4 linked regions of the Lonchura striata genome follow. The protein of the gene in region 4 interacts with the protein of the main gene of each other region in a pairwise test. Links are inferred from orthologs where the notes say so. Each region holds a gene or a part of one and is shown on either strand. Other genes may lie near its edges. The genes, in order: DDX6, LAMTOR5, ATOSB and CEP70.

Region 1 (7,044 bases), on a different chromosome or scaffold from region 4:
GAAGTGAAGCAGCTTGTCCACTGTTACGGATTTTCCATGTGAATCATTCCCTTCTAGTCAATGCCAGGGCTGGGAGCAGCAAATCTCATTTTGAAAACCTCAGAACTGTAATTGCCCACATCAATACAATATACTGACAGAGCTTCTGCTCATGACTTCTGCAGGGGCTGAACCAGGGAAATCCAGGAATAAGACCAAGGCCTGTGGAAATTACATGTTACTGCAGTGTAGGTGCCTTAACGCTCTTGAGTCATGGTGGTCCCATTGCAATGAAAACTGGGCCAAGGAACCTCAGGGAACCTAGTATAGATCTCAGTGGTTTTTCTGCAACTTGTTTTTGGATGTCTAGTCCGCAGATGAGGAAGGTTAGCAGGCAAAGCATTTTTGCTATGGAGAAATGGGGTTATCATTTTGGACACGGTACTTTTCTGCAAGGTTACAGAGTCAAAAGTCTCATATGATAACAAAATTTACGTGAGGCCCTCACTGTATTCACTGTGTGATACTGAGATAAATGCCCTTTTGGTGTAAATGTTCTCATAATTTTTCCTTCCATAATTGCTCAATTGATCAAACGATCCTCTCTGCACAAGGCAGAGTTTGTGTTGCCACCTTGACAAGACACTTTGGAGGCCTTTTTTTTCAAATCTTTATGGGTAGGTTGCTGCTACAAGCACTGAGTATAAGTAAAGCAACATATGCCACCACCAAAGCAAATACATTGATGCTCATGTGATATCTGCGGCCTCCCTATTCCAGGGAGGGAGCCAAATCTGGGAAGCTGCCAGAAGACAGAGGTGGGAAACAACACATATCAAACTCCCAACTGCAGAAGTCTGAGAAAAGGTCTAAAACTCTTCCTGCTGTGGCACCTGACTGTGGGTGTTTAGTCCTAAAATCAGCTGGGTTCTGCCACCCAACCCTCCACTCACACGGGGTCTTCTTTATTATGTAAAAGAATTCACAGCAGAGATAAAATCACAAAGCTAAGGATTATGTAAGTTTTGTATGCAAAGAAAATGAGATGAAAAAGGTTTGAGTTTGGTTTTAACCCCTCAGGAAATTTTAGCGCTGCCACTGAACTTCAACAGAGGTCAGGGAAAGAAGTGTCTTCTCCAAAAGAGTTTTAAAGGAATGACCACTATTTGCCAAGGGTTTTTATACTGGATGAATCAGAAAAGAAATAAATAGGGTAGGGCTTGCTCTTCCCTGGTGTGTAGGAAAAAAGGAAGAACAGAAAATCAGGTAACAATTGAATCCAACATTTCTCTTTTTGGAATAATTAATCCTGAGGTCTGCTGCAGGGAGCCACTGTAGTAAAAAAATAAATTCTGAGATGCAATATTTGATAACCAGGTTAATGATAATGCTGCTGTGTTCTTCCCGTTGGATAGCACAACATACTGTATAAGGTACAGCTGCTCTTTTTCACTTGTAAAGGCTGGGAAGAGAACTAAGGTAGAATACCTAGTGTCATCACTCTCTGTTAGAAGTAGTACTTGCAATCTATCTCCCACTCTTTAATCCTGTCTTGTAAATACACTGCGTGTTCCCCTTTCAGCAGAGTATATGTGGAGCCATATGTATGGAAGCCTGTATGTGGAGCAAGTAAGCAGGGTGGTCATACCATACCAAGGGTTTTTACACACGTAGAGAGAAGACTGGGTTTGCTTGGGTATTCCAGTTGTCAAAGGAGACCAGAGAAGGTGTACAGGGCTTTGCACACTGTGTACACAGTCATTTGTACTACTGAAGCCTGGTGCAAAAGGTTCCTGGCTCAGAATAACTGTTTTATGCCCATGTTGTGCTAATGGCTGTGCAGACAGCAGGGCAGCAGGAAGCAGAGGCAGGGAGAGGCTGGCAGCACAGGATGGGACTGCTGGAGCCCCACTCTGGCAGAGACTCCTGACCCTTTGCAGAGACTCTGGTCTGTGTCCTCATGAAAGGACAGTACTCGGGCTTAGTGCTTGCTAGTACAGGTTCCGTTAGCTTTCCCCAACAGAATACCCAGCATCCCTGCATCACAGGCTGGAGCCACACTACGCCAGCTCTCTGCAAGCAACAGCTTGTAGTCAAGTCTGGATTTAAGGGATGCAAGGACTAATTATGCTGGCATAAGAAATGGCTCAAGCTCTGCCTCTGCCAACAGGAGGGTTAGAAGATGGATGGCCAGAAATCTGGCCTTTCAGCCCACCCTAGCTCTACCTGCCATCCCTGTTATCAAGCAAAGCCAGGCCCAACTCACCAAGTCATAGGTCTCTGATGAGTAGCTGACAGGCCCCATGGTTTGAGGGGCACGATCCGTCTCTCCTCCAGAAATTGCTGCAAAAGTTATTTTCTGAGGTGGAGTTAACAATTTAAGTGAGTGGGGAGGGACACAGACTGTAACAATAGAGTATTTGCAAGGCAAATGAGCTCCAGGCATAGAGTGACCTGATTGATGTAAAGATTAACATCTAGCTTTATAATCTTTTTACTAGTGCTGTAATTGATTTTTAAAGTAGAGTTTGAAGAGTCCCTATTCCTTTGATCTATACCACAGAAGATCCAGAACATATTTAGGTCTTCCTTGGAAACCTTGCCCACAGCTGTCTTTGTTACAGGTGGTCCAAAAGGCTTTGAAAAGTTCTGTGCTAAGGACCACCCTTACCAGAAACCTCCTGGATCCAGGCACTTCTCTGGAGCTGTGCAGGACTTTGAAGCATGGGTATGGTCTGTATGATCATCACCCTCTGCCTTGGGGTCCTCCTGGCTGCTTTAACCCCACTGACTTGTAGTGGTCTTCTGCTCCTCCTTCTGCTGCTTCACCCCTCCTTTGGGCTTGGGGGGGGGGGGGGGTGTGAGGTGGCTTGCACAGGAAAGCAAAGCCTTGCAGCTACTCTGCAAGTCTAGAGCAGGGCTAGCAGGGGCTAGGCAGCTTGACTTCACAAGGGTAAGTAAGGAGAATCAAGATCTTCTCTGCTTGGGGAAAGGCATTTTGTTCAGTGATGTCACAGCAACAGACTCACAGTGGTCTGGGTCAGCAGAGTAGGTTGGCATTGCAGCTGGCATTTTGGCAGAAAGCTTTACCTGTGCGCGGAGCTGAGGTGGTCTGCCAAGCACAGTTTTTGTCCTCCTCTCGTCTAGGTACAGCTGCATCAAGGCGTCTCTACCAGCAAGGACTCTGGTGGGACTTTGTACTTGTGAAGGAGAAGGTGGTGTTATTCCCATGAGCACTGCTGGATTACACCACTCCTGTTTCTTAGACCCCGACTTGTTGGGCACCAGCTGCCCCGAGGATGTCGCTGTCCTCCCATACCGTGAGGACCTCTGTGTGCACCTGCAGGTGCTCATCAGCTCCTGGGCATTTTCTGCTGACAGGATGGAGAGCAGCAGACCCGGAGGGAGGCCACAGGGAGCTTGCACTGTGCCTCACTCACAGGCAGAGCACAGACTGAGCAAGCCCTGTCCTGAACCCCGTGCTGCGAGGGCTGAGGGGCAAGGCGAGGAGTGGGGTATCACTGGGAGACGAGAGGCCAGGAAGGATGTTTGCAATCAGCTACAACTGGAGGGTGGAGCTTGTGCCTTTTGCTGCTGAGGGTGGAAAGACAACCACCTACAGACTGCTGGAGCTGTGAGGAACTAGATAAAACCAGGAATGTCCCTGTCCTTTTGCATGTATTTTGGAAAAACATTTGAAGAAAAAATTGTCTGCAAAGCAGTCACTACTAAGATTACATTCCCACTGTGTCTCGGTTTGTCAAAATCCACATCTAAGTAACAGCTATCTAAAGAGAAATGCCAATCCCCAGCTTGTCACGGTCGGCGGTTACGACTCCTGCAGGCTGTGGCTCAGACCCCCGTTGTTAGGTTTGTGTTGGCTCTGTTTTAACGGCAAAGCCCGGTCAGCTCCCCGGGTCAGAGGGGAGGGCCGGCTCTGAGGGAGGGGACGAGCGGCCCGCCCTCGAGCGCGCTGGGTGCGGCGTGACGCACGCCGAGCGTACGGGCGTGCGTACGTACGTACGTACGTACGTACGTGTGCGTGTGGGCCGGGGCGGGGCCGGTGCCACCCGCCGGGAGGGGGAGGGCGCACAGGAGGAAGGAGGAAGCCGCCATCTTGGAGCGTCGAGTCGCCATAACAAGGCACCGGGGGAGCGAGAGGATTTTGTACCTGGGCGAGGGGGAGCGCGGCTGGTGGCGGTGAGCACGGGCCAGGGCGGGCGCGGCTCCGTGGGATCAGGGTGAGGGGGCCGCTGCCGGCGGGCCGCGCCTCGCGGCCTGCGGCGAGAGCGCGGGCCTGAGTGGGGCCTGGCGACGCCGCGGGCGGGGCGGGGACGGCCGGACCGGGCCTGGGCGCACCGGAGCGGCGGGGCCGGGGCACCGCGGGGGCGGGGCCGGGCGGCTCTCGCTCCCCGCCGGCCCGGGCGGCGAGGGGCGGCCGCTCCATTGTTCGCGGGCGGGAGGTGCCGGTGTGGCGCAGCTGCGATCGGCGGGCGGCGCCGGGCCCGCCGCTCTGCCCCGGGGCTCTGCACTGCGGCCCGGGCTCATCGGGCGCGCTGAGCACCTCGAGGGCTCCCTTTGTGCCGGGCCCAGCCGGCGGAAAGGGAGAGGTCCGGAGCTGCTGCCCTGGCCGCCCGCCTGCGCCCGGAGAGCAGAAATATGCGACGGAGGCCCTTTTTTTTCAGTCCGTTGGTTTGCAAAATGGTGGCGGTTTTTTTATCGGAACAGGGAGATTTTTTTGGGTTCCGTGAGACTGTGCGGTTTTTTTAACCTGTGCTCTTCAAAAGGATAGTTACGAGCTTGAAGGCATAAGGGACTGAGAGGTTTCATTTCCTACACCATTGGAGAACTTATCGGTGTTAGTAGTCGGGTCTCATTGGCGTCTCTGGCTGCCTTCGTAACTCCTCTGGTTTTTACGAAGTTAATTGCTAAAAGAAGTATCTTTCCGAAGATGCCTTGAAAGTTAACTAGCAGAAAATCCTAGTATCGCAAACTTTCCAATGTTGCTGGAAGCCAGCACTAACACACCTTAAAACAGCTGGGAAGTCTGAATTCCTTTTCCACTTTCTTGAAATGCTCTTCAATATGCTTTTTTATTCACAGGGAAGACATGCATTTTGTTGTGAATGCAGAGGTTAGGAAGCAGTAGTCTGCTGGTTTTCCCTTTGTGTTTTCCCAAGATGCAGATGCTCAAGGCGAGCCTACTTTTCATTCCAAAAGATTTTGGACTAGGGACGTTTTGTCTCCCTGGTATCATTGTAAGGAGTCTTTAGCTCTGGTCCATACTTGCATTATGTAAGAGGCAGACTACGTGTTGTCTTTCCATAGTTTTGCAACCTCTCTATTACATACAGTGTCAATATTAAGTCATGTGTATGAAATGTTATCTTCTGAGGACCACACAAGTTGTTGCTGACAGTGGGAAGGTAAGATCACAAGCAAGAAGCTGGGGAACCAGCAGCGTTGCTGCCTCAGTTCAAGCTCAGTGGCTTTGACTCCAAGAGGCAGCTGCTCTCAGTTCAGTGTAATGGTGTTGGTTTGTCGCTCTTCTGAATAGCCTTAAATCAATACCTGGTTGAAAACTGGGGGTAAGCTGGTTGAGCTAGCATTTTGGGTTGGAGGAATGTAAGCTGTTGGTTTGGTTTGCATAATCTATATTTCCCATTCAAACCAAACAGGGCAATTAGTTTATAATGTAAGGGTTTTGTCAGTTCTAACTGGAATGTCCGCTTGATATTGTAGTCTTGCTTCTTGTCACAAATTTACGCATAATATTGTTGTTCACGTTTTAGGGCTGGTTGGCTGCATCACGGAAGTGGGGGAATTGGAGAGCCATCAAAGCAATTGATACACTTAATGGTTACTTTATCAGAGGGGGTAGGTAGTGGAAGGTCGCTGAAAGTACAGCTGTTTGGGAAGTTTTCTTTGATGTCTGAAGATGTTAGGCAACATTTTCTAGAAAGACAAAAAATGTTTGATGCATGTCTTTATAATTATCACGAAAACGGCAAGTACTGTTGTTGCACACAGTCTGGAAGAAATTTTTCTTAAAATACAAAAGTAAACTGATGTGATTTGCACAGAGAAAAATCCATATGCTAATTGTTATTGTCTGCTTCTCTTTCAGATTGAAGCAAGTGAATTGTGATATAACTGAACTTCAATAGAGGGCTTTTTTTAAAAAAAAGTTGTTCCACAGTGCATCAGAGCAAGTTACTGCTTTACTTTTGAGTGACTTACAGGTGCTTGCCTGCATTGCAATAAAGGACTCATATATTGAGCAAGACTTATTTATCTCTTCATTTTGGAGAGTCTAATAAACTGTTATTACAGTTTCTGTACTGACTTTCAAAGTTTTGAAGTCTAAAAAGACATCTTTAAAGATAAAAGCATGAGCACGGCCAGAACAGAGAACCCTGTTATAATGGGTCTATCCAGTCAGAATGGGCAGTTGAGAGGCCCTGTAAAACCCAGCGGGGGCCCAGGAGGTGGAGGCACACAAACTCAGCAACAGATGAACCAGCTGAAAAATGCCAACACAATCAATAATGGCACTCAACAGCAAGCACAGAGTATGACCACCGCTATTAAGTAAGTGTTTGTATCGGCTGCCATGCAAGGAATGTTTAGAAGTTATGTATGGGAAAGCATTCTTGGATTCCCACTTTGAAAATGCTGCCTTCTGTTTTGTCACATGGGTGGTTAGAAGTGTCCTGTCATGTGCATTACAAGTATTTCCACATGTGAGCTTCTCTCTTTAACAGTAATTTTTGTGAAAATCCAATTTGGTCCTGTGCTTTTCTGAGTGTGAGCCACTGTCAGAGGTAGCCCAGCTTTTGAATCCTGTGTTTTTTGCTTGCTGGAAGTGGTGCAAGAAGGAAGTATAGGAGTGGGAGGGAACTGAGCTGACGTTTAAGACTGAGGAGGAAATGCCACCTGGTCTCAGTCTAATTGTTTCTGCCTTTCAGTTTATTGTAATTCTTTCCCATGGTGAAAAATGCTTTAAAGTCAGTTATCTTCTGTTATTGATCTGAAATAGTAGTTCCTGATCTCCTCATTGTAATG
Region 2 (7,689 bases), on a different chromosome or scaffold from region 4:
ATCCCAGGCTCTGTCACCCACAGAGACCCAGGACTGTCACCCACAGGGACCCAGGATTGTCACCCACAGAGACCCAGGATTGTCATCCCCAGGGAATCCCAGGCTCTGTCACCCACAGGGACCCAGGACTGTCATCCCCAGGGAATCCCAGGCTCTGTCACCCACAGGGACCCAGGATTGTCACCCACAGAGACCCAGGATTGTCACCCACAGGGACCCCAGGCTCTGTCACCCACAGGGAATCCCAGGCTCTGTCACCCACAGGGACCCCAGGATTTGTCACTTACAGGGACCCCAGGCTCTGTGACCCACAGGGACCCCAGGGGGAAGAGCTCCTGAGCTGCAGGAACCAGCAGCCCCTGGAAGGTTTCCTGCTTCTTTTACATCCCCATTAACCCAGGGACTGTGCCTGTGGCAGCCTCTCCCCACAGCTGCTCCAGGGATGTGACTCCAGGAGTCTCCCAGGGCTGGGGCAAGGCAAGGTGGGGCCAGCAGCAGCTGCAGGCTGGGGCCTCACCCGCTGTCCGACTCCAGGCACACCACGGGCGTGTCCGTGGGGTCCGAGGTCAGCTTGGCCGCCTGCTGGGCCAGCACCGAGATGATGCCGGCGTGCTCATCCGACAGGGTTCCCCTGCCTGCAGGGGTGGGAGGGCTGGGTACACCCCCTGTGCCAGGGCAGTGCTGGGGACAGGCTGACTGTCCCCCCAGGCCGAGGGGCTTGGTCCTGCCTGGCTCATTTCCCTCCCTGGCCTGTTTCCCTCCCTGGTCTTGCCCCAACCCATTTCCCTCCCTGACCCATATCCCTCCCTGGGGGCTGACTCAGTGTCTCCCCAAATAGTTCCTCTCCCTCCACCAGAAACCCCGAGGTGAGCTGTCAGGAACAGGCAGGTGGTGGCAGGGCAGGTGTCCCCAGAGTGGCACTGGTGCAGGACAGCTGGGGAGGGGGGGTCTGTAGGGCCGGGTGGTGTCCCCATCCCGGGGAGCCCTTCAAAGGGAACGGGCAGGACTGGGAGCACCCCAACCCCCCGTGGGCAGCGCCGGGACCCCCCAGCCCTGGGAGCCCCTGGAGGGGCCGGCAGTGCCAGGAGCCCCTGGAGGGGCCGGGCAGTGCCAGGAGCCCCCCAGTGCCCCCCACGCCCGCCGGTGCCTCACTCACAGCCCAGGTTGAGCCCCTGCGAGTCGGTGCACAGCACGCCCACCACGGCCGGGCTCTTCATGCTGGGGGTGACAGCGGCCTCAGAGCCGGGAGCGCAGCCCGGGACAGCCCCGGTGCCCCTGGCCCGGCCCCGTGTGCCCCATCCCCCTGTGTGCCCCCATGTTCTCCATGCCCCCCCAAGTTCCCCATATCCCCTGTGTCCCCCACGTCCCCCATATCCCGCCCCATGGCTCCTGTGCCCCCATCATGTCCCCCCCATGTCCCCCATGTTGCTCATATCCCCACTGTGCCCCCCCTGTCCCCCCACGTCCCCAAGTCACCATATCCCCTCGTGTCCCCCATATCCCCTATATCCTCCTGTCCCCAAGTCCCTCCATGTCCCCCCACATCCACCTGTATTCCCGTGTCCCCCCATATCCCCCCGTGTCCCCCATGTCCCTGTGTCCTCCCTTGTCCCTGTGTCACTGTATCCCCTGTGTCCCCCTGTCCCCGAGTCCCCCCCATATCCCTGTGTCCTCTCATGTCCCCCCGTGTTCCCCCATATCCCCCCATGTTCCCTGTGCCCCCTCATATCCCCTATGTCCCCCCCCCACCCCCCATGTCCCCCCATATCCCCCATGTCCCCTCACATCCCCCATGTCCCCCCACGTCCCCGTGTCACCATATCCCCCGTGTTCCCCCATGTCCCCAAGTCCCTGCAAGTCCCCCATCTCCCTCCATGTCTCCCCGTGTTCCCCATATCCCCACTGACCCCCCACATCCCCATGTCACCATAACCCTCCCACGTCCCCCCGTCCCCAAGTCCTTCCATGTCCCCCCATACCCTCCATCTCCCTCGTGTCCCCCTGTGTCCATGTCCCCTGTGTTCCCCCATGTCCCTATGTCCCCCCACGTACCCGTGTCACCACATCCCCCGTGTCCCCTCACATCCCCCGGTGTCCCCTCACACCCCCCATACCTCCCACATCCCCCATGTTCCCCATACCCCCCATACCCCACACCCCTGTCCCTCACGTCCCCCATATCCCCTGAGACCCCTCACATCCCCCAATGTCCCCCATATCTCCCGTGTCCCCCCCAGTCTCCTCACGTCCTCCATGTCCCCGTGTCCCCCATACCCCCCGTATCCCCTCACACCCCCCATGCCTCCCACATCCCCCATGTCTCCCACATGCCCCATGTTCCCCATACCCCCCATACCCCACACCCCCGTTCCCTCCCATCCCCCATATCCCCTGACACCCCTCACATCCCCACGTCCCCGTGTCCCCCCGTGTCTCCTCACGTCCCCCATGTCCCCCATACCCCCCATATCCCCGGTGTCCCCTCACGCTCCCCATACCTCGCACATCCCCCATGTCTCCCACATGACCCATGTCCCCCGTACCCCCATACCCCACATCCCTGTCCCTCCCATACCCCACATCCCCCCACAACTCCCAAAACCCCCGTGTCCCTTCCATCCCCCATATCCCTCACACCCCCGTGTCCCTTCCATCCCCCATATCCCTCACACCCCCGTGTCCCTTCCATCCCCCATATCTCCCCATACCCCCTGTGCCCCTCACGTCCCCCATATCCCCTCACACCCCTCCCATACCCCCGTGTCCCTCCCATCCCCTCACACCCCCCACACCCCTCACACCCCACACCCCCGTCCCTCACGTCCCCAATATCCCCCCACACTCCCCATGTCCCTCCCACCCCCCCACACCCCCGTGTCCCTCCCACCCCCGTGTCCCTCACGTCTCCTCCAGGTGCTGCTCCAGCGTCGCCTCCATGGCGGCTCTCCGGCACTTCCGCCCGTACGGCGGCTCCGCGCGGCCAAAAGCGCTCGGGGCGCGCTCGGCTCCGCGGGGAGCTCGGCTCTTGGGGCTCCGCACCCGCCGGTACCGTGCCCCGCCGTGCCCCGCCGTGCCCCCGCCGGTACCGAGCCCCGCCGTGCCCCGCCGAGCCCCGCCGTGCCCCCGCCGTGCCCCGCCGTGCCCCGCCGTGCCCCGCCGTGCCCCGCCGGTACCGAGCCCCGCCGTGCCCCCGCCGGTACCGAGCCCCGCCGTGCCCCGCCGAGCCCCGCCGTGCCCCCGCCGTGCCCCGCCGTGCCCCGCCGTGCCCCGCCGTGCCCCGCCGTGCCCCCGCCGGTACCGAGCCCCGCCGTGCCCCCGCCGGTACCGAGCCCCGCCGTGCCCCGCCGTGCCCCGCCGTGCCCCGCCGTGCCCCGCCGTGCCGCCCGGGGCTTGCAGCGCCGAAGGAAACCCAGCCGCGGTTTGAATGATGCTCCCGGACTCGCCGCGTTGCGAGCGTGGAGTCACAAATCCCTTTCCCGAGGTGCTGGCTCCTGGGTGCTGCCCTGAGTTCTTCTTTATTTTATCCAGGAAAAATCAAGGTTGAGGCAATTTGAAGAGTGAAGGTGGATGTGAGAAGCCAAGAGCTTCCTCCTGTGGTTTTTTTTTATCCTGGCACACGGTAAAATTTGGGATGTGAGGCTCAGCAGCATCAGCCGGAGCAGGGCTGCTGGAGACCTGACTTTAATTCTTTTTACACTTTTCAGTTGTGTACAGGGGAAAACAAAATTCCGAGGGGCATCGAAGGCACTTGAGACGACATTTCGTGTTCAGACCCAGGAGTTTGTTATTCCTTACCAATGTTACGGTCTCACAGCAGCAAGTTCTGCAGGTTTTTATTAGCAAAGTACAAAATTATTAACTGTCCCTTGTTATAATTTCGTTTAAGGCTAAGTTATCTCATTAAGAAATGATAATTGCATTATTTTCACTTTTAACCCAATAACTAATCCCTTGAAGAGGACTTTTCTGTCCAGTTACAAAACACCAGCCAAACCCATGGAGAAGGTGAAGAAGGAGCAGCCTTCACCCTAAAACTTCTATTTTGCTCCATATTTATTGCTAATTTCTAAAACCCAAACTCTGACTTTTCCACCCTGTAATATTAACACACTTTTAACCAACTCCACACCACAATCCCAGTTCTATCTGCTGCCTGCAGCCACCCCCAGCCATGGTAAAGAAAGAGAAGGAATTTTAAAAAAAATCAGCATTTACATCAAAAAAACACCAAATAAAGAGATAGTTTCCCTTCAGGCAGAAGCAAGACTTAATCACAAAGTTTAATTTGGGGTGTGTGCAGAGCTGCTCCTGGAAAATCTGTGGAGGTGGGAGCTGGGCAAGGGAGCCAGTGGGGTTTGGGGGAGTTTGGGGGGTTTTGGTACTCTAACATCACCAATTTTTATTTGTTTGTTTTTTTGTTCCTATTTACTTATTTGTTTCTTATTTATATATCTAGGTATCTATTTATTTCTATATTATATTATATTATATTATATTATATTATATTATATTATATTATATTACATTATATTACATTATATTACATTATATTACATTACATTACATTACATTATATTATATTATATTATAATTACATTACATTATATTACATTACAGTATATTAATCTATTTATTATTTATTTCTTCTATTTCTCTATTCATTCATTCATTTGTTTCATGTACTCATTTCTATTCCAGTTTATTTGTGAAGCCCCCCAGGTGTGGCTGTGGCAGGCTCTGCATTTCCATCCCCTGTGAAGTCGTTATTTGGTGTTTGAGGCAAAAACTTCCCTGTGCTTGCTTCCCCCCGTCAAAAACATCCAAAATTGGGTGAAAATAAAACACTGCCAAGACCAGGATGAATTTCTTTAGGTTGTGTTTTTTTACATCAGGATTTTTTTCTTTTTATTGGTGAGAGAAAATCCTCCTGAGGGGAGGCTGCATCCCCAGGCCGGTGAGTTTGTGGCACCCAAACCCCCCCAGGAAGGGCTCCCATGGCAATAAAGAGAGGAAAAAAATCAGAAAAACCCCCACAATAATTCATAAAACTGTCAAAAATATATAATTTTATGTTTTGGGTTTCTTTTATTAAACTACCTTATTTTATGAGCTGCCTCTGGCCTTCCACAAGCTTGAAAATGGGCAGAAAGTGCTATAAATTTGAGAGTTTTGCTTAATTTTTAGACATCTCTGGGTGGAAAATATTACAAATTCTTTTCTCCCAGCAGATCTCACCACAACAAAAAGAAACAAAACGTCTTGGCAGCTTTGCTGGAGCTCACCCTGGGTCAGGGGAGGCTCCGTGTGGTGGAAAAGTCTCTCCTCCAACCCGTGCTTCTAGGTAATGGGGAATATCCTAGGGAATATCCTTTTAACTTTGAGGAAATAGGAAATATCCTTTTAACTTCTAGGAAATAGGAAATATCCTAGGAAATAGGAAATATCCTAGGAAATAGGAAATATCCTAGGAAATATCCTTTTAACATCTAGGAAATGGGAAATATCCTTTTCTCTTCGAGGAAATGGGGAATATCCTTTTAACTTCTAGGAAATGGGGAATATCCTAAGGAATATCCTTTTAACTTTGAGGAAATAGGAAATATCCTAGGAAATATTCTTTTGACTTCTAGGAAATGGGGAATATCCTTTTAACTTCGAGGAAATAGGAAATATCCTAGGAAATATCCTTTTATCGTCTAGGAAATGGGGACTATCCTAGGGAATATCCTTTTAACTTCTAGGAAATGGGGACTATCCTAGGAAATATCCTTTTAACTTCTAGGAAATGGGGACTATCCTAGGAAATATCCTTGTAATTTCCCCCTGGAGGAGCCAGCTCCCGCGGGGGATGCGCGGTGGCGAGGCAGGGACCGGGAAATGATCCCGGTGGCGGTGAGCGGAGCTCGGGGCTCTTTGATCCCGGAGCTCCTCCCCGCCGGAACGGAGCCAGGAGCCGCCCGGGGCCGAACGTGCGAGTCCCCGGCTCTGCTTGATGTTCTGCTCCAAGGTGAAGCGAGAGGTTCCTCCGCGAGAGCCCGAGCGGGGCGGGAGCGGCCGGGAACGGCCGGGACGGGACAAGGACACGGCTGGAACGGGAGTGGGACAGGGATGGGACGGGACAAGGACACGGCTGGGATGGGAGTGGGACAGGGATGGGATGGGACAAGGACAGGGATGGAATGGGACAAGGACAGGGCTGGGACAGGACAAGGACAGGGCTGGGACGGGACAAGGACAGGGCTGGGATGGGAGTGGGACAGGGATGGGATGGGACAAGGACAGAGCTGGGACGGGACAAGGACAGGGCTGGGACGGGACAAGGACAGGGATGGAATGGGACAAGGACAGGGATGGGATGGGACAAGGACACGGCTGGGATGGGACAAGGACAGGGATGGAATGGGACAAGGACAGGGATGGGATGGGACAAGGACAGAGCTGGGACGGGACAAGGACAGGGCGGGGACGGGACAAGGACAGGGCTGGGACGGGACAAGGACAGGTATGGAATGGGACAAGGACAGGGATGGGATGGGACAAGGACACGGCTGGGATGGGACAAGGACAGGGCTGGGATGGGAGTGGGACAGGGATGGGATGGGACAAGGACACGGCTGGGACGGGACAAGGACAGGGCTGGGACGGGACAAGGACAGGGCTGGGACGGGAGTGGGACAGGGATGGGATGGGACAAGGACAGAGCTGGGATGGGAACAGGACACGGCTGGGATGGGACAAAGACAGGGCTGGGACGGGAGTGGGACACAGCTGGGACAGGAGCGGGACAGGGATGGGATGGGACTGGGACATGGCTGGGATCAGGACACAACTGATATGGGACAACAACACAGCTGGGATGGGACCTGACCAGGACATGGCTGGGATGGGAATGGGACACGGCTGGGACGGGAGTGGGACAGCGATGGGATGGGACAAGGACACGACTGGGATGGGACAAGGACACAGCTGGGATGGGACAAGGACACAGCTGGGACAGGAGCGGGATACAGCTGAGATGGGACATGGCAGGGCTGGGATGGGAGTGGGACAGGGATGGGATGGGACCTGATCAGGACAGGGCTGGGATAGGATCAGGATACAGCTGGGATGGCCAGGATGGGACAAGGACATGGTTGGGATCAGGACAGGACACAGCTGGGATGGGACCTGACTGGGACAGGGCTGGGATGGGATCAGGATACGGCTGGGATGGGACTGGGACATGGGTGGGATCGGACTGGGACATGGCTGGGATCAGGACATGACTGAGAAGGGACAACAACACAGCTGGGATGTGACCTGACCAGGACATGGCTGGGATGGGATCAGGGCAGGGCTGGGATGGGACAAGGACATGGTTGGGATGGGACAAGGACACAGCAGGGATGGGATCAGGACATGGCTGGGATGGGATCAGGACATGGCTGGGATGGGATCTGACCCAGACATGGATGGGATAGGAGCAGGACACAGCTGAGGTGTCACAAACCCACACACGCCACATCCTGCTCTGAATGTTCCACACCTAAAATAATTTCATGGATAGTTTCCAAACAGCAGGGGAATATCCTCTATTCTATTCTATTCTATTCTATTCTATTCTATTCTATTCTATTCTATTCTAATTATTCTCCTCTCTAATTCTCCTCTCTCCTCCCTAATTATTCTAGTCTATAATTCTCTTACCAT
Region 3 (8,015 bases), on a different chromosome or scaffold from region 4:
CCAGAGGTGCCAGTCGCTGCAAACAGAAGTGAGGATCAGAAACATGGTAATATGGCATTACCAGGATACAGAGGCCCACACAGATCCCTGGAAGAAGGAGGTCCCTGGGAATCATGCAACATGGAGAGACATCAGGCAAAAGCCTCTCAGAGAAGACTCTCACAAAGTAACCTGCAACAATCTCACTAAGTAACCTGTTACAAACCATCTGCCAGCATACAAATATCTCCTTTCAGGATTTATCCCATGCTGCCCTTCACATCTGTACTGTTTCAAACCCAACTCATTAATTCCTCCAGCTACCAAAGCCTCTGATAATTTCATTACAGCTCCATTGACAGCATGCTGAGGACACCACTTTTCTAACCATATGGCTTCACTTTCTCCTTTCTTGTCTGTGGCCACATACTTACCAACAACAGGTTTTCTTATTCTGCATCAGGAAGTGTCCTGGCACCCAGTCATAGTGCATTTCTACACATCACACAATGGTGTCAACCAGATCTAGCAGAGGACAAACCTGGGCAGGCCCAGAGCAATAAGAACATGTAAAGGACTTGGGAAGAGCCAAGAGTCTTTGACTTTGAAGACTCAGATCAACAGCCATCCTCTTCAATCACCCTCAGACTCAAAGAACAAAGTTCGGGTATCTCAGGCCTCTGGTACTCAGCACAGTCATGCAGAAATGTGCCAGGGCAAGCAGCCTGTAGCAGACAGCAAGGAGGAAGACCGGGGCAAAGATGCACTTCTCCTCAGTAAGCTGCGGCTCTGAACAATGGAGTTCCCACAGTACAGAGTGACCCCACCAGATTTCCTTCCTTCAGTGGGTAAGAAACCTCTCACATGAGGAATAGAAACAAGGCGTTTCACCCACTACCCCGGGTGAGTGGTACAGCTGAAACAGCCCCAGCACTGCTCCAACTGTGGGTGGACCTTGGTCCAAAAGCCCAGTTCACCAAGGGACATAGTTGTGGTGACAGCAGGGCTCTGCTGTCCTGACCACCCTAGTCTCTATGGGAAGGGACATGTCCAGGCCCCACCAGAGTCAGCAGGAATACAGTATTACGGTTAAATGTTATGGGAGCAGGGGCTGGAGGTCAGGCAAGGGCAAGTGTTGACACCCTGGCAACAAACACTGTGGCAGCAGCATCCCTCAGAACCAGCCCCATCCGAACCCCTCAGCCCTGCCAACTCCCACCAGTGCCCTGCCCTAGTGCTGGGACTGCATGCTGGCACTGCATGCTGGCACATGTAGAGTCCCCATCAGCACCCTGCCACTCACTCATGCTGAGACCCAAACCATGGGAATTGCTGCTGTGAAACAAGGCGGTGACCAGGCTTTACAGGATGACTTCATTCTCCCAGTCCTCAACCTAAAGCCCAGCCCTGCCAAAAGTAACTCTAGCACTATCACATTGGGAGTTTTCTTCTATGTCACCTGCCGGACCTTGTTCACCTCCTCGTGCTACCAAGCTTGCCAAGACACTGCTTTGTGTCAGGGTTCAAGCTTGCTACAATCTCCACAATTTCTCAACTTTTCCTCTTTACTGATGCCAACAGATACGATTCAGGGAGAGGGCAGGTCTGCAAGCACATCTCTGCTTGTCTGATGTTTTTAAAAAGGCAATGAGTGGAAATTACTTTTAAAATTTAAATTTAGAGCACAACATTCCTCTACCATGCATTTTCCACTGCAACTGCAAATTCCACACGCCTTCTTTCAAAGAAAAATAATAAAAGGAGTGTGGAAACCCTGGAGGTGTGTGCCGTTCATACTGATGGATTATGTTCACGGGTGGGTCGTGAGCAAGCCCACCTCAACAGCAATCACCATGCAGCCATTTCCTCTGACTTCCCTAATAGACCACCTTTCCAAACCTGACACCCGGGCTGCCGTTTCTGTATAAAACCTGCAAGATGCTTGAAAACCTCGGTAGGACGGCAGCTGCTGATTTCGGGAGGGGAGTGCCCCCGACAGGCCCTTCCGCCCGCGGCTGGCTGTCACCAGAGGGCGGCGGATGCCGGGGTTCACATCCGCCCCGGCGCCCACCCCGCACCCCACGCCGGGGCCTGGGAAGGGACCCCGGGGCGGGTGCCGCCCGAGGCGCGCCTCCCGCGCCCCCGGGGTACCCGGCCCCACCGCCGCGGGCCGTGCCGGGACAACCCACCACGTCCCAGCTGGGCTGGAGCTAATGCCCGCGGGAGGAAGAAAAAGAGGAGGAGGAGGAGGAGGCCCCACCGTGCGGGCAGAGCTGCAGACAGGCTGTCCCAGCCCATGTCACAGCGCAGAGGACGTGGCCCTGGTGGGCGAGACCAGGGGCAGCGCAGCCTCCCTAAGCTGCCGGGGAACTGGGAGCCGGGATCGGGGACACCCCGCAGCAAAGGCTGCACCCCGTTTCGGTCCACACCTGCCTCTGCCAGACACTGCCCTCCCGAAGCCTCAGTTCCCCCGGGCACCCCCGGCCCCCCAGAGTCGCTCTGCGGTCACACCGCCGCCTGACCCCCCCGCCTCGGCACCTCCTGCCACAGCCTCCGCCGGTGCCAGGCCTCTTGCCGGCCCAAGTGCCCCGGCTACAGCTCCCCACCTCGGTCACAGTCCCCCACACTCACAGACACCCATCCCGGTCACGACCTCCCCAGCACAGAGACCCACATCTCGGTCAAGGCCCCCCACCGCTCGCAGTTGCCCATTCAGTTTACGACCTCCCCCATACTACCCGATCACGGCCCCTCCTGGTCGCGCCTCCCCCAGCTCCGGCTCGCCCCTGCGGTCTGGGCTCCAGGTCCCAACGGCCCTCCCGAACCTTCTGGAACCGGAGGACGGCGGCAGAGATGGGGCGCACGAACCCGCTCGCACGCCGCACGGGGGGCCCGTCCCCGCCGGACCCCGGCCGTGCCCCGCGCCCCCCGGCCCTACCCGTCGCGGCCCCGCCGGACCCACCAGCGCCCCCTCCGCCGCTGCCGCCGCGGCCCCGACTGTGCGCGGCTCCTGCGTTCCTTCCGGGTGCCGCTGCGGACACGCCTCCCGCGCGCTGATTGGTGCTCTGGGCGGGGCAGGGCGCGGGGCGGGCGAGCCGCGGGGCCGCGCGGCCAATGGGCGGTGAAGCCCCGCGCCGAGACCCCGCCTACGGCCCGCCCCCTCCACGTGCGGGAGTGTGATGACAGCGGGGAAGGGGCGGGCCCGGGCGGCGTGGCGCTTCATTGGCCGGCGGCGGCGGCGTGGGCGGGGCCTGGCTCGGCGCGGGGCGGGACTGCCGCCCCTGACCCTGCGGGCTGAGGGGGCACCCCGGCCCCACGGGCGCGGCGTGTCCCACCCACGGCCACGGCGTGTCCCACTCACGGGCACGGCCTCACGAGCACGGCGTGTCCCACTCACGGGAGCGGCCCCACGGGAACGCCATGTCCCACCCACGGCCACGGCGTGTCCCACCCACGGGCACGGCCCCACGGGCACGGTATGTCCCACTCAAGGGCACAGCCACCCCAAGGGGCAGCCGTCTCGTCCCTACCACGTCCCACCCCAGAGGTGCCCCCGGCCCCACGGCGTGTCCCACCCGTGCACACACCCACGGGCACAGCATGTCCCAACTCCACAGTCACCCTTCGCCCAGCACCATGCATGCGAGCTGTGCCAGCCCCAGAGATGACCCTCCCTGCCCATGGAGATGGCCTCCCCAAAGTGAGACCCCCGCGGTGTCCCTTGTCTCATGCCCCGAGTGGAATCACCCTGGTGTTCCCCACTCCCCAGCTGGTGCTGGTGCCCCACAGGCCGGGGCCATCTACCCACACTGCCGGGCTGTGCCGGCCTGTGCCAGAGCCCACCGTGGGCACCGGACCCGGGGGGCAGCTGCCCCCCTGGATATGGCTGCTCAGAGATACCAAAACACCCAGCAGCCGTGGGGTACCTGGGCAGTGCCACCCGCTTGTGGGGATGCCAGCAGGATCCACTGCCCCGAGGGGAAGCAGCCCACAGCTCACCAGCCTGACCACGGGCCATTTAGGTCATGGAAGAGATGCCTTGACTTCATCACTTTTGGGTGAAGTTCGGTAAAGATCAGTCCCCCAATCGACTTTTCTCTCTCCTCAGGAAGCTACAGCTGCAACACCACTCTAAAAATAGTGGGGACCAGTATCGTCAAATGATAAATATAACCAAGATCTCCTTTTCTGACAGCACACAGTGAGTTGGATGTGAACCTGCAGTGCACTGGCTGCTGAGTCCCAACGCTCCCCTTGCCTTGCTGCTGATCCTGGGGCATTATTTTCGGAGGTGCTGTCATCGATAAAGCTGTGCTGATGCTGTCTGGGAATAGCCATGAGCAGGACAGACGGTTCTCTGACAGCCGTGCCCTGCACGTGCCTCTCTGCAGGGAGAAATGGCAGCTCAATGTCCTCTTGACAGCTATGTGGCCATGGAGCAGCAGCTGCCAACTCAGGACCCCATCTTCTCCTGGGGCCTCAGATTGCTGCTCTAAGCAATTTCTTGTTAAATAACCCCTGGCTGTCCCCACATTCAGCTTGTGGGCCACTAAAGGTATTTAATGTATGGAACAGTCTAATTTCTGAGTGTAATGACAGGAACATGTGATTCTCCAGTGTTCCTTGTGACTTAGGAGCCGCTGACTCAAACTTTGTGTGTACAGGTGCTGGTGCCAGGAAGAGCCCAGGAAGCTCATTTTCCCCACATGCCCATTTTTCCTTCACAGTGCAGATTTTCTACAGACTTCCAGGGCAAAATTTAGCTTTTCTGTCTTTTGACCCTGCATGTCATCTCTGCTGAGCTGACAAGAAATTCTGGAGTCCAACAGGAAGGCAGCAGAGGCTATGGAAACCAGGGATGGGCTGAAAAAGGCTCAGTCCCCATCACACAGCTGCTTACACAGGCTGTGTTCTCCACTGTAAACTGGCTGAAACGAGTTCACAGTTAAAAAATGGTTAATGAACCTTTATTGGCCTGAACAGGAACTCAACTGGAACAACTTCAGTCAAAGCTGAACCACTGTGGAGCTGAATCAAAAAAATTTGCTGGTTCAGCTCCTTGGTTGGGGGGAAATATAGGCTCCTTTGTCCTTGACAAGAATAATACATTTCTGTTTATTGTGTGGGCAGTGAAGGATTAATAATATCCCAAGTTATTTACCTCCCGCTTCTGAGTGCTGAGGGTTTGTGAGCGATGTCCCTGCTGAGCACACTGTCCCTTAGCAACCTCCCCTGGTTTTTGAAACATGTTCTCACTTCAGAAGCAGGATTAAGGAGCAGGACACAAAAGCCCCTTTTACCAGTCTGATGGGGTGAGGCTGCTCCCATTGCTCTTCCCATGGGGCAGAACCTCAACTATGGCCACTTGATGGGCACAGTAACACAAGCTGTGGTGATTTGGAGAGCATCTGGAAAAACTTCCAGAGGCTTGGGAGGTTTGGGGATGGAGCAGACTTACTGCACAAGCTATATTACTTCTCTACAGAGGGGCCCACCCTAGGCCTTGCCAGGAGTAGCCTTCATCTATTCCTTACACACACTGGGGACTTGAAAAGGGCTTTACAAGGGTTGGTGAAGGCAAACAAGGGGTTTAAGCACATTAGGCATGGCTTTGCACCAGAGTTGGCCACTTTCCAGACTCGCCTGCCAGGAGGGCTGGGAGAAGGGTGTTTTCCCAGGAAGATGAGGTGTCCCAAGCAGCACATGGTGAAATGACGTCCTTCCGTCTTGAGCCTTTCTGCCTGCAGGGCTTCCCTTTGAAGGGTGTCCTGGTGAGGTGACTGAGTGGTGGTGAGTTCATCCCTGGGTTACCTCCTTCCTGGAGCTGCCAGTGCTGCCCCAACCTGCCTGCAGCGAGCTGGGGCTGTTCAGCCTGTTTGCCAGGCTGGCTGCTCCCACTCAAAAGGCTGTCAGGTGCCAAGCTCCAGGATGCTGAGGAGCTGACACAAGCAAGGTTCCTGCCCCAGTTTTAATTTAATTTAATGGTTTTCATCATGGAAGAGCGGCATCCCCATGCACACACTCATTTTGTTGGTGTGGGCAGGTTTCACAATTGCAAAAGTGCCCTTGAGAAGTACATGGATCATCTGTCAGTGCTGATGGGGCAGGATGTGCCTGTATAGGGGTGATGCTACCCCTGCATCACCTGTACACTCCCCGTGCCAGCAGGCTGTGCCATACCATGTACATCTGATCCAAGTCCATAGGTAGGTAAAGCAATAAAGGACCCATGTGCAGAAGCAAGCCTGGTAAGACTTGGAGTCCTGCCAGCAAGAGATTGTTGGGAATTTTAAAAGGACCTTGGAAGAAGCTGGTGGAAATCAGCTATCACGTTGTTTTGGGGCCCTTGGCAAGTGGTGGCAGGTTGGGTGGGGTGTGGATCAATGGCAGGGCTGGACCAGGCACTGTGTGGTGACTCATGGCCTCATCCCAGCTGGTAGAGGAGCTGGAGAAAGCTGAAAAGACAGGTGTACTAGAGGAGCATAGGGTGTCACTTCCTTTCTTAACGGTGTGTTGCCACAAAAAGGCTTGCATTTTTGTATCTCTCACAGTCCCAGTCCTAGGCATGCAGCATGGACTGTATCTTCTGCAATGCCTGCCTCTGTGGAGTTTAATGCTTCTTGTCCTCCCTGTATTTTGCAACTAGAGGAGACAAAGGCCAAAGCCTGTCCCTCTTTCTCTGAGACTGTCACAAGGAGAAGATGCACTGTAGTGCCCTGTGGTCCTGTGTTGGAGCTAGGGAATTTTCCTGGGGGAATGTGAACCAGTGCTGCAGGACCTTTCCCCCGCCAGAACCTGGTTCCATGATGTGCTTGGTTTACCTGTTTGACAGAAACAGCTGTAAAACTGAAGATAGAAATCAAACTTGGAGAGTTTCCTGCTGGGGGAGTCCTACTGCCCTCGGGGGAAGAGATGGCATTCTCTTTTGGCACTGTGGGAATTCCTTCTGGTAACATCTCCAAGCAGAGCTTGGGGTCACAATAGAGATGGAGTCACTGTGGTATGCTGACTGAGTCCCAGTGCCCACCAAAGCCTCATCCCAAACTGGGCATGTCTCAGAGTCCTGGTGGGAAAGGAAGAAGTGAGAATGATGGATTTGAGATCACTTTAACAAACACAGGGTAGTAGGGCCAGGTAGGGCTGCTCTTTTGCTCCCATACCCACACTATACTCATAGTTCCAGTGTTGCCTCTCCTATTAGCTGTCTCCCAGCACCTTTGTAGAGGAGGGCAGCATTGTGATCCCCAAGGTACCATGGTGGGCCTTAGAGACCAAGGAAAAAAGGATGGATGATCTGGAGTCTGACACAGGTCATTAACCCAGTGCTACAGACTTCACTGTTGTCTGAGACACACATGGGACTTCCCAGAATTAAACAGGAGTCCTGGCTATGTACAAAACTCGAAAGATCTGTCCTGGAGATGCTGGCAGTCTGGGTTCTAAGGGATAAAGGCTGTTGGCTACAGCTTGGCAGGCTAAGGTTGCTCAGCAAGAAGAATTTCTATGTAGCCCAGGGCAGGGATCTCTGAAGTACAAAGCCATAGAAAATATGATGTTGTGTTGGTTGCATCCCATTCTGAGCAGGAGGTCAGACTGAGGATGTCCCTGCCTGTCCCTGCCACAGTGTTTCCAGGGCTGGAACAACACCTAGGGACTTCATGTGGCTGTTCAGCATCAGGAAAATAATCCCTGTTCTCTTTTCACTGTTGGAAATGTAGAGCTCCAACTGCTGCCACTTCACCCCTCAGGGTCACCCATTGTCCTAGACAGTCTGACTTCACTTAATGGCCCTCTGCCTCAACCTGCAGCTGGGGAGCTGTGGGACGGGCTTGGATTAAAGGTGGCATAAGGGACGTGCTCTGAAGAGGATGCCGGTGATCTGGGCGAGCTCTGGGAGAAGTGCCTGGCCCCACACACTGGATATGTGAATGGTCCCCTCCCTCATTCTCTTTTCATGCCTAAGCCTCTCCCCCTACAGCTTCCCTGCAGAAATGTTTCATTTCTTATACGCCTGCCTTGAAAAGAAAATATTAAAA
Region 4 (7,424 bases):
ACCTACCTCAGCTTCTTTTTAATCTGACTAATTTGAGATTCATAATAATCAATTAGACATAGGTACCTGAAGAAAGGAAAAATGTTAATTTTGAATTTCAGATATTCTCACAAAACTCATAGTGACCAACCCAGATGAACAGCTCAGCTTATACAATGCACTGCACTTTGAAAGTGGCTGCTCCAAACAGTGCAGTTTCTCTCATACCAGAAAAACACGGTCACACTTTGCCAAAATGGAAAAGTAGACACATTGAATCTGTACTAGTTCAGAAGCAGCAAAATATTCAAGAGGAGAAAAAAGTTAAATCTGCCCACCAGTGTCCTCATCTTATGCCTGTGGTTACCCAGCAAGATTAACAGAGAGGCACAGTCAAAATAAAGTGTTTTGAGCACTCAGAGATTGTCTGGTTTGGAGAGACACATGAGAGACGACAGGGAACCAAATCTAGGGATCCTTCCTCTGATACAGTGAGAGCTCAAGGAAAAAGCTGAGCACATACAATCCCTCTTAAAAGTTTCCCAGATAAACATTGTTGGCCAGGCCTAGAAAGCCAGGTGATATCAGCACAATAAAGCAATGGCTAGGTTTAGGAATTGGCCAATGTCTGACTGTAGCAGAGCTATGGAAATCCTACTAGCAAGAGACGAAGCCTTGTGACACTTTGGGAACTCACCCAAAAGTACTTGGAAGCTCACAGGAAGCCTCCAGTCAGCAGTTGCAATCACTTCCCAAAACTGGAAAGGCTCTTTTTTTGGGGGGGGGGCGGGGCTAAGGATGCTGTTTGTTGAGGGGGTTTGTTCATTTTTAACTTCCTTAATTTACTTACTTAAATGTCAGCATCCCAGGATGAGATCATCCTAGCTGCCAGCCACTGCAGCTACAGAGCAGAGTGAATCATTCCCTTCCCTTTGCTGACATCTAGTGTGGGCAGTGGGTGGCAATTGTTAAATTTCTGCCATGGATTTATCTGGCTTACAGTTTCACAAAAGAAAAATATCACTGCACTGAGGTACCTTCGCAAGACTATATATTTCATCTTGTACTCCTAAAGTCTCCAGATTACTTCTTTTTGCCATATAAATATTGAGAAGCATTACATTAAAATCTGTTTCTTCATTTACTGTTGCAGAGATTCAGCAGTAGAAGAGAATCACTTACCGCTGATCCAGGAGAGACTTGGGAGCTCTTCTGCAAAACTGACAAAACATTTTGTTTTGAATGTCAACTCGCTGCTGCTCCTCCCTCCCAACTCTCCTCAGCTCCTTCTGCAAGCGGGCAATAATCTCTTCCTGTTCTTGCAGCTTTTCCTGCTGCTGTTGGTATTTTACCTGTGAACAGGCAACAGGAGTGTTACTGAATTGTAATGACCCACACACTGACTATACCATACAAGCCCAGGTACACACCTGGAACCAAGGAACGTGAGCATTTGGGTTTTAGCCATGCTGAAGAGACAGTCTAAGAGAGATACAGATACTTTTCAAAATTATTTCTAGAAAATTCTGCATAGTTTGAGAATACTTAGCTATCAACAGCGTACTAACCCTATGACCCAAGAGTCATGTTTATTTAGATCAATGTAAGTATTCTGAGATCTTCTGTAAGTCAAAAGTTTGAATCCTCAGGCAGCACTATCTGAATTACCCGTGAAGCCTGTTGTTCTTTTTGAAGTTCCTTGACTTGGTTCTGTTGCTGGCATGCCTTAGCTATTGTTTCATCTTCCAGCTGACAAATTTTGGCCTTAATGTTTTTCACCACATTTTCCAAATCATTAGCCCGTTGCTCTTGCCGAGATGCCCGACCTTGTTCCAGTCGTACCACATCTCTGAAAAAAGAAATGAATCCTTGCTTTTAAATTAAACTCATTTCACTATAGACAGTGCATAAAGCACACACCTGACATTATGTGATGACCTCTGATAACATCCTGTGGCAGCAGGTGTGGGAAATACACTGATATGAGAAGAAGCAGCAGATGAAACAAGGGGAGAGCTTGAAAGGAACTGGGACAATATTGCTGCATATTGAACAATAACCTCAGGAAAAAGGTCTTAGGCCTCTGGTGAGATAAGATCTCCACCAGGCTGGAGTTGCACACTGATAATACTTTTACTCTGCAGGTAAATTCCTTCCACTGTCTTACCTAAGACATCGATTTGCTTCCATAAGTCCCTGCATCACCTTTTGCTGTCGCTCAGTGTCTTCCACCAGCGTTTGTAACGCAAGTCTTATTTCTTGAGAAGACTGATGGTCTAGGACAATCATATCTGGAGACAGAGAACATAAGCAAAGTCACCATGAAAGGGTTTGAACAGCCAAAGAGGATTTGCCTGATTGCAGCCACTAGGAAGTGACAGCTTTGAAGATGCCTTATCAACTTAGGGTTACTATTTCCAAATAAAAAAATTACATTTCCTTACCTGATGTACCTCTGCAGCTTTGGGGGGCAGCAAGGCTCACAGGTTTCAACCCATGACGCATTAATACCCTGTTTAAGTTTTCCCACTCTGTTTTCTCCTGCTGCATTGGGAGAAAGGGAAAAAAGGCAGATACCTGAGTTCTTTGCATCGGCCGTGCAGCACAAGGTACCAAATGCCCACAAATTAAAGCAAACAACCCCAAACCCCCAGGGGGCCGCTACAGGAGGGTTTGTGAGAAACTCCACTACGATCTGCAAAGCACACTGGGGAAACGCGTACTTAACACCACACAGTATAACCCGTTTTCCTGACCCCTACTTGAAAGCAGAACACGGCGCAATGAGTTAAATCCGCCTCTTTAGGAAACGCGAACCACCACCCGCGGCTCCCTCCACCGCACCCGGGGCGCAGCGGCCCCGCCGCGCGCGGAGCCCTCAGGGAGGCGGCGGCGGCTCCGGGGGCTCGCGGACCGCTCCGTCGCGTCCTGTCCCGCTCCAACCCCCCAGCAGCGACGCCCGGGGCCAGCGGGGTACCTCGGCCATGGCCGCGGGGCAGAGCTGGGCCGCGGGGCCGCGGGGCAGAGCGGGGCAGAGCGGGGCGCTGCTCAGGCCGCGGCGCCGCTCGGGCGGGAGCGGAGCGGCGGCAGCGGCGCGCGGGGGCGGCGCCGCGCGGCCGCCGCCATTTTGCGGCGCGGGAGGCGAGGGGAGGAGAGCGGGCGGAGGTAGGAGCGCGGCGGCCGGGCGTGGGGCTAAGGAGAGCAAAAAATAAAGACTGGGGAAAAATGGGAAAAACTTGTTGCTGGCGGTAATGGCTGGGAGCACGTCTGGCGTCCGGTTTGCGCTTCCCGGTACGGCGATGAGCGCTGCCGGGATTAGGTGGATGGGCTGGGAGCTGTAATCCCAGGCTCGTTTTCAGAACCGTGTAAAGGAGGAAGCACTGCCTTGGGCTGCTGAGCTGGTCAGGGAATGGAGGCGGTGGGTGCAGCTGCTGTGTGTCCCTCCTGGAGCAGCGCACGGCTTTCCCTTGGGACGCGGTGGGATCGCCTCCAGCAACCACCCCTGGCCTGGGGTCAGCCTTCGGGCTCGGTGTGAAATAAATGTGTATTGCTTCATTACCATGATTTCAGGGAAAAAAAAAAGTGTGTTCTGGGATGCTTCCCAACCCTTTCAGCATTGATCCTACAATCCACGCCGCAGCGCCGGGGCCTGCCCGGGGCGATGGAGGCTCTGGTGTGTGAGACTCTCCGGGCATCTCCTGCGAGCCCCGGGCCGCCCCTTGTGCTGATCCCTGCCGGGGAACAGTCCCTGCCTGCTCCTTGAACAGAGGAGGGAAATATTCCCTGCCTGCTCCTTGCAGCAGGGGAGGGAAATATTCCCTGCCTGCTCCTTGCAGCACAGGAGGGAAATGTTCCCTGCCTGCTCCTTGAACAGAGGAGGGAAATGTTCCCTGCCTGCTCCTTGAACAGAGGAGGGAAATATTCCCTGCCTGCTCCTTGCAGCACAGGAGGGAAATGTTCCCTGCCTGCTCCTTGAACAGAGGAAGGAAATATTCCCTGCCTGCTCCTTGCAGCACAGGAGGGAAATGTTCCCTGCCTGCTCCTTGAACAGAGGAGGGAAATGTTCCCTGCCTGCTCCTTGAACAGAGGAAGGAAATATTCCCTGCCTGCTCCTTGCAGCACAGGAGGGAAATATTGCCTGCCTCTCCTTGGAGCACAGGAGGGAAATATTCCCTGCCTGCTCCTTGCAGCACAGGAGGGAAATGTTGCCTGCCTGCTCCTTGAACAGAGGAGGGAAATATTCCCTGCCTGCTCCTTGCAGCACAGGAGGGAAATATTCCCTGCCTGCTCCTTGCAGCAGGGGAGGGAAATATTCCCTGCCTGCTCCTTGCAGCACAGGAGGGAAATGTTGCCTGCCTGTTCCTTGAACAGAGGAAGGAAATATTCCCTGCCTGCTCCTTGCAGCACAGGAGGGAAATATTGCCTGCCTCTCCTTGCAGCACAGGAGGGAAATGTTGCCTGCCTCTCCTTGGAGCACAGGAGGGAAATATTCCCTGCCTGATTCCCACCGTGTGCCCGGTGATGCTGCCTTCGCAGGAACCAGAAATTTCAGGAGTGGCCAAAAACACCCCCTCGGCATTTGTTAGCACTGTTTGTTTGTTGATAGGTACAGACAAGATAATAATGAAATTAATGAGTGAAAAAAATACATTATAAACCGGTGGTTATAAAACACCATCGTGTAAGAAATTAGTTCTTTGTGGCTCACATAGATTTTGTGACTGATTTGCCAGGTCAAATTTAGTAATGTGCTTGTTGAAAGCTGCTACAGTTGTTTAGAAAAGGGAGGAGGTGGAATTACTGCCTGTGCTATTTCTAATCCCAGTTTCATTACGGTCTGGGACTGAGATGCGCAGCTCTGGATTAGGTTCCTGCTTTGGTCAAGTTGTTAATTTCTAAGCTTTGTCTCACAAATCAGGCAGCCCATTTTTCTGTCCGGTAACTGACAAAGTTATGAGCAGCTAGTGAAGGTAGGACACTCTACTAGCACTTACTTGGTTTTGTAAAATATAATATTTTTTTAAATACACTTGCCTTTCTGTCTTAGAGAAAGATGGTTGTATTTTAAGTGTTTTTATTTTATCATATTTATGACAGCACTGCACGCTAGTTAATGATGCTTTTAAAAATTGTCCTTTATCTTAGCTGGAGAAAATGGTGAAACTTTAGACTTCAGCACTTCTCTCCTACTATTCTGCTTTTCTATTTTTTCTTGCTGCTAATTGGATTAAAAGCTCTTTTGGCTTCTATGGCATCCGGTGAGGAGATTACTGTCTGTGACGATGAAGTAAGGTAAAGAATCAGAACTGTGATATGAGCAGATTTTGAAAGATATCCACAGTTCCAGTGGTCACTTATGACTGTATCTAAACTTTAAAAATCACTTGAATAAAAGGATATCTTGCCAGATCCCTTCCCCTGTGTCTGTCTGTGAAGCGTTGAATATCTGAATGATGTAGGTAGTGTTTATGAGATTAGAGTCAAATCTGTTAACACAGGAAATCGTTTTTAGACTATTTTTTCAAGTCTAAAAAGCTGAAACACTTTCTTTGACACAAATCAAATAATATGTTTTAATGCCTACCAAGAAATAACAGAACTATCCAGGAGTATCTTAAAACTAAATGTAATTTTGTTACCTATTGTCAGCTGAAATGGGAGTTTTAGAGGTTAGATGGGTAACTGTGTCTTTGTACTGTTTGTCAGAATGAGTCTGCTTAACTGTTTGTATTTTGTGATGTTTTGTCATATTTGAATGTCTGAAAAACATTAAAATATAAGCTGTTCTCTAAGTGTATTCTTTCAGTTGTCATTTTGTATTTCAAAAAATGCAAATACAAAAGCAGAAGAAGCAGTAAAGCTTTGAACTGCAGACATCAGGACTTCCAACAACAATTAATTTACTTTGTTGGTTTCTCCTTAGGTCTCGGTACAGCCACTTAGAGAAGATGACAGATTTGGTGGCTGTTTGGGAAGTAGCTTTAAGTGATGGTGTTCATAAGATTGAATTTGAACATGGGACCACTTCAGGAAAGCGTGTTGTCTATGTTGATGGAAAGGTGAAATTGCTATGTGCTCAAAATTCACTGTGATACAGATTATATAAGTACACTTCCATGCAACACACATCACAACAAACAAAAGACTAATAAATGCGAGTGAGGTTCATTCAGTTAATTACCTAATTTAATAACATGCATCATTCTTTTTTTTTCAGTTCCAATTAAGGTGTGAGTATTCATGAAGTGCTTTGCTGTCCTTGGACAGGGGCACTCTATGCATACAAAGCACCATGTATGCTTTCATTCCCCAACAGTAGTTCAGTACTGAGCTGTCTCCCGAGTTCCAGTTCAATTTTTTAATATTAAAACATGCACTCAGTTTTTTCAATTAATATCCACTGTCTTTTTTTTCTACAGGAAGAAATAAGAAGAGAATGGATGTTTAAATTAGTGGGTAAAGAAACATTCACTGTTGGAGCTACTAAAACTAAAGCTGCTATTAACATTGATGCAGTCAGTGGCTTTGCATATGAATACACTTTGGAGATCAATGGAAAGAGTCTCAAGCAGTATATAGAGAACAGGTTAAAAACAACCAATACTTGGATATTGAACTTGGGAGGTACAGACTATAGAATTGTTCTAGGTAAGTAAACATTGAGTGACTACATGTTGCTGCCTGTGAATAAACTTCTGTGCATTTAAAAACTGGTAATTAAGAAAGCACAGTTGAGTGGGTAGCTCTGATGCGGTATAAAATCCTGGGGGATGTGGAAATTTGGAATGAGATGCCAAAGATAGTCTGACAAGTAATGACTTGTTATACATGTGTGAGTCTACAGCAGTGTGGTCTAGATTTGGGAGACGTTACTGCTGCTGCATCCATAGAGCTGCCCTAGCAAGGCAGTTCTTCAGGTGAAGACTGTTAAAATTTTACCTTCATTGTGATCAAACCTCATGTGGGTCTAAGTTTGTTCAGCAGGTAACCAGGTTTTCCTTCCAAAAATCATCAGCCATGGTCAAGAAGTCTTCATCTGAAGTGCAACAATGTTATTTCACATTTTTGACATGTGGATAGATTGATGAACAGCCTTTTTTCTGTATCACTTCTTATGTACAAAATTAAACTAAAACCCTCCAGTGATGTTCTTTCACTTTCTTAATGGTAAATTACAACTACCAATACATTGTTTCTCTTCTGCCCCCTCTCTCCCAGTTACATTACAAGCAGGTGGGAGGAAGGGATGATCCCTTGAGGAATTTTTCTGTGGCATCTAGTGGGAAAACTTCCACTTGGGTATTGCTGTATGGTTAGAGCTGGAGACAAGAGATCTCAGACTATGATTTCTTCTTAAACCTCAGGACAGAATGAACTGCCCTAAGATGAAGGGAAGCAATGAAGAAAGACAGTTTTAGTGCCAGAAACAGATAAGTCTTCACAGA

Evidence for each region.
Region 1: the proteins of CEP70 (region 4) and DDX6 interact in a two-hybrid assay, tested with the Homo sapiens proteins (2 studies listed by BioGRID and IntAct). The two-hybrid records come from large-scale screens. The link is inferred for Lonchura striata from reciprocal best matches to the Homo sapiens genes CEP70 and DDX6.
Region 2: the proteins of CEP70 (region 4) and LAMTOR5 interact in binary tests that used the Homo sapiens proteins (3 or more experiments, as listed by UniProt). The two-hybrid records come from large-scale screens. The link is inferred for Lonchura striata from reciprocal best matches to the Homo sapiens genes CEP70 and LAMTOR5.
Region 3: the proteins of CEP70 (region 4) and ATOSB interact in binary tests that used the Homo sapiens proteins (3 or more experiments, as listed by UniProt). The link is inferred for Lonchura striata from reciprocal best matches to the Homo sapiens genes CEP70 and ATOSB.

Annotation. Positions count from the first base shown.
Region 1 is NC_134625.1:11,073,735-11,080,778, forward strand, and holds the start of DDX6 (putative ATP-dependent RNA helicase DDX6), read left to right. Parts: upstream 1-4,036; 5' UTR 4,037-4,179; intron 4,180-5,771; 5' UTR 5,772-5,856; intron 5,857-6,106; 5' UTR 6,107-6,370; coding exon 6,371-6,570; intron 6,571-7,044.
Region 2 is NC_134632.1:1,406,539-1,414,227, forward strand, and holds the start of LAMTOR5 (ragulator complex protein LAMTOR5), read right to left. Parts: upstream 2,938-7,689; coding exon 2,903-2,937; intron 1,219-2,902; coding exon 1,157-1,218; intron 636-1,156; coding exon 518-635; intron 1-517. Other genes in the region: embryonic pepsinogen, read left to right, coding at 2,936-3,082. UniProt on the Homo sapiens protein: As part of the Ragulator complex it is involved in amino acid sensing and activation of mTORC1, a signaling complex promoting cell growth in response to growth factors, energy levels, and amino acids.
Region 3 is NC_134642.1:40,208,345-40,216,359, reverse strand, and holds the start of ATOSB (atos homolog protein B), read right to left. Parts: upstream 3,024-8,015; 5' UTR 2,942-3,023; intron 1-2,941. UniProt on the Homo sapiens protein: Transcription regulator that may syncronize transcriptional and translational programs.
Region 4 is NC_134610.1:9,371,793-9,379,216, forward strand, and holds the start of CEP70 (centrosomal protein of 70 kDa), read right to left. Parts: upstream 3,044-7,424; 5' UTR 2,966-3,043; coding exon 2,957-2,965; intron 2,524-2,956; coding exon 2,424-2,523; intron 2,271-2,423; coding exon 2,147-2,270; intron 1,829-2,146; coding exon 1,648-1,828; intron 1,332-1,647; coding exon 1,162-1,331; coding exon of another isoform or gene 1,158-1,161; exon of another isoform or gene 769-1,157; intron 67-768; coding exon 7-66; intron 1-6. Other genes in the region: FAIM (fas apoptotic inhibitory molecule 1), read left to right, coding at 5,228-5,271, 5,903-6,038, 6,399-6,627.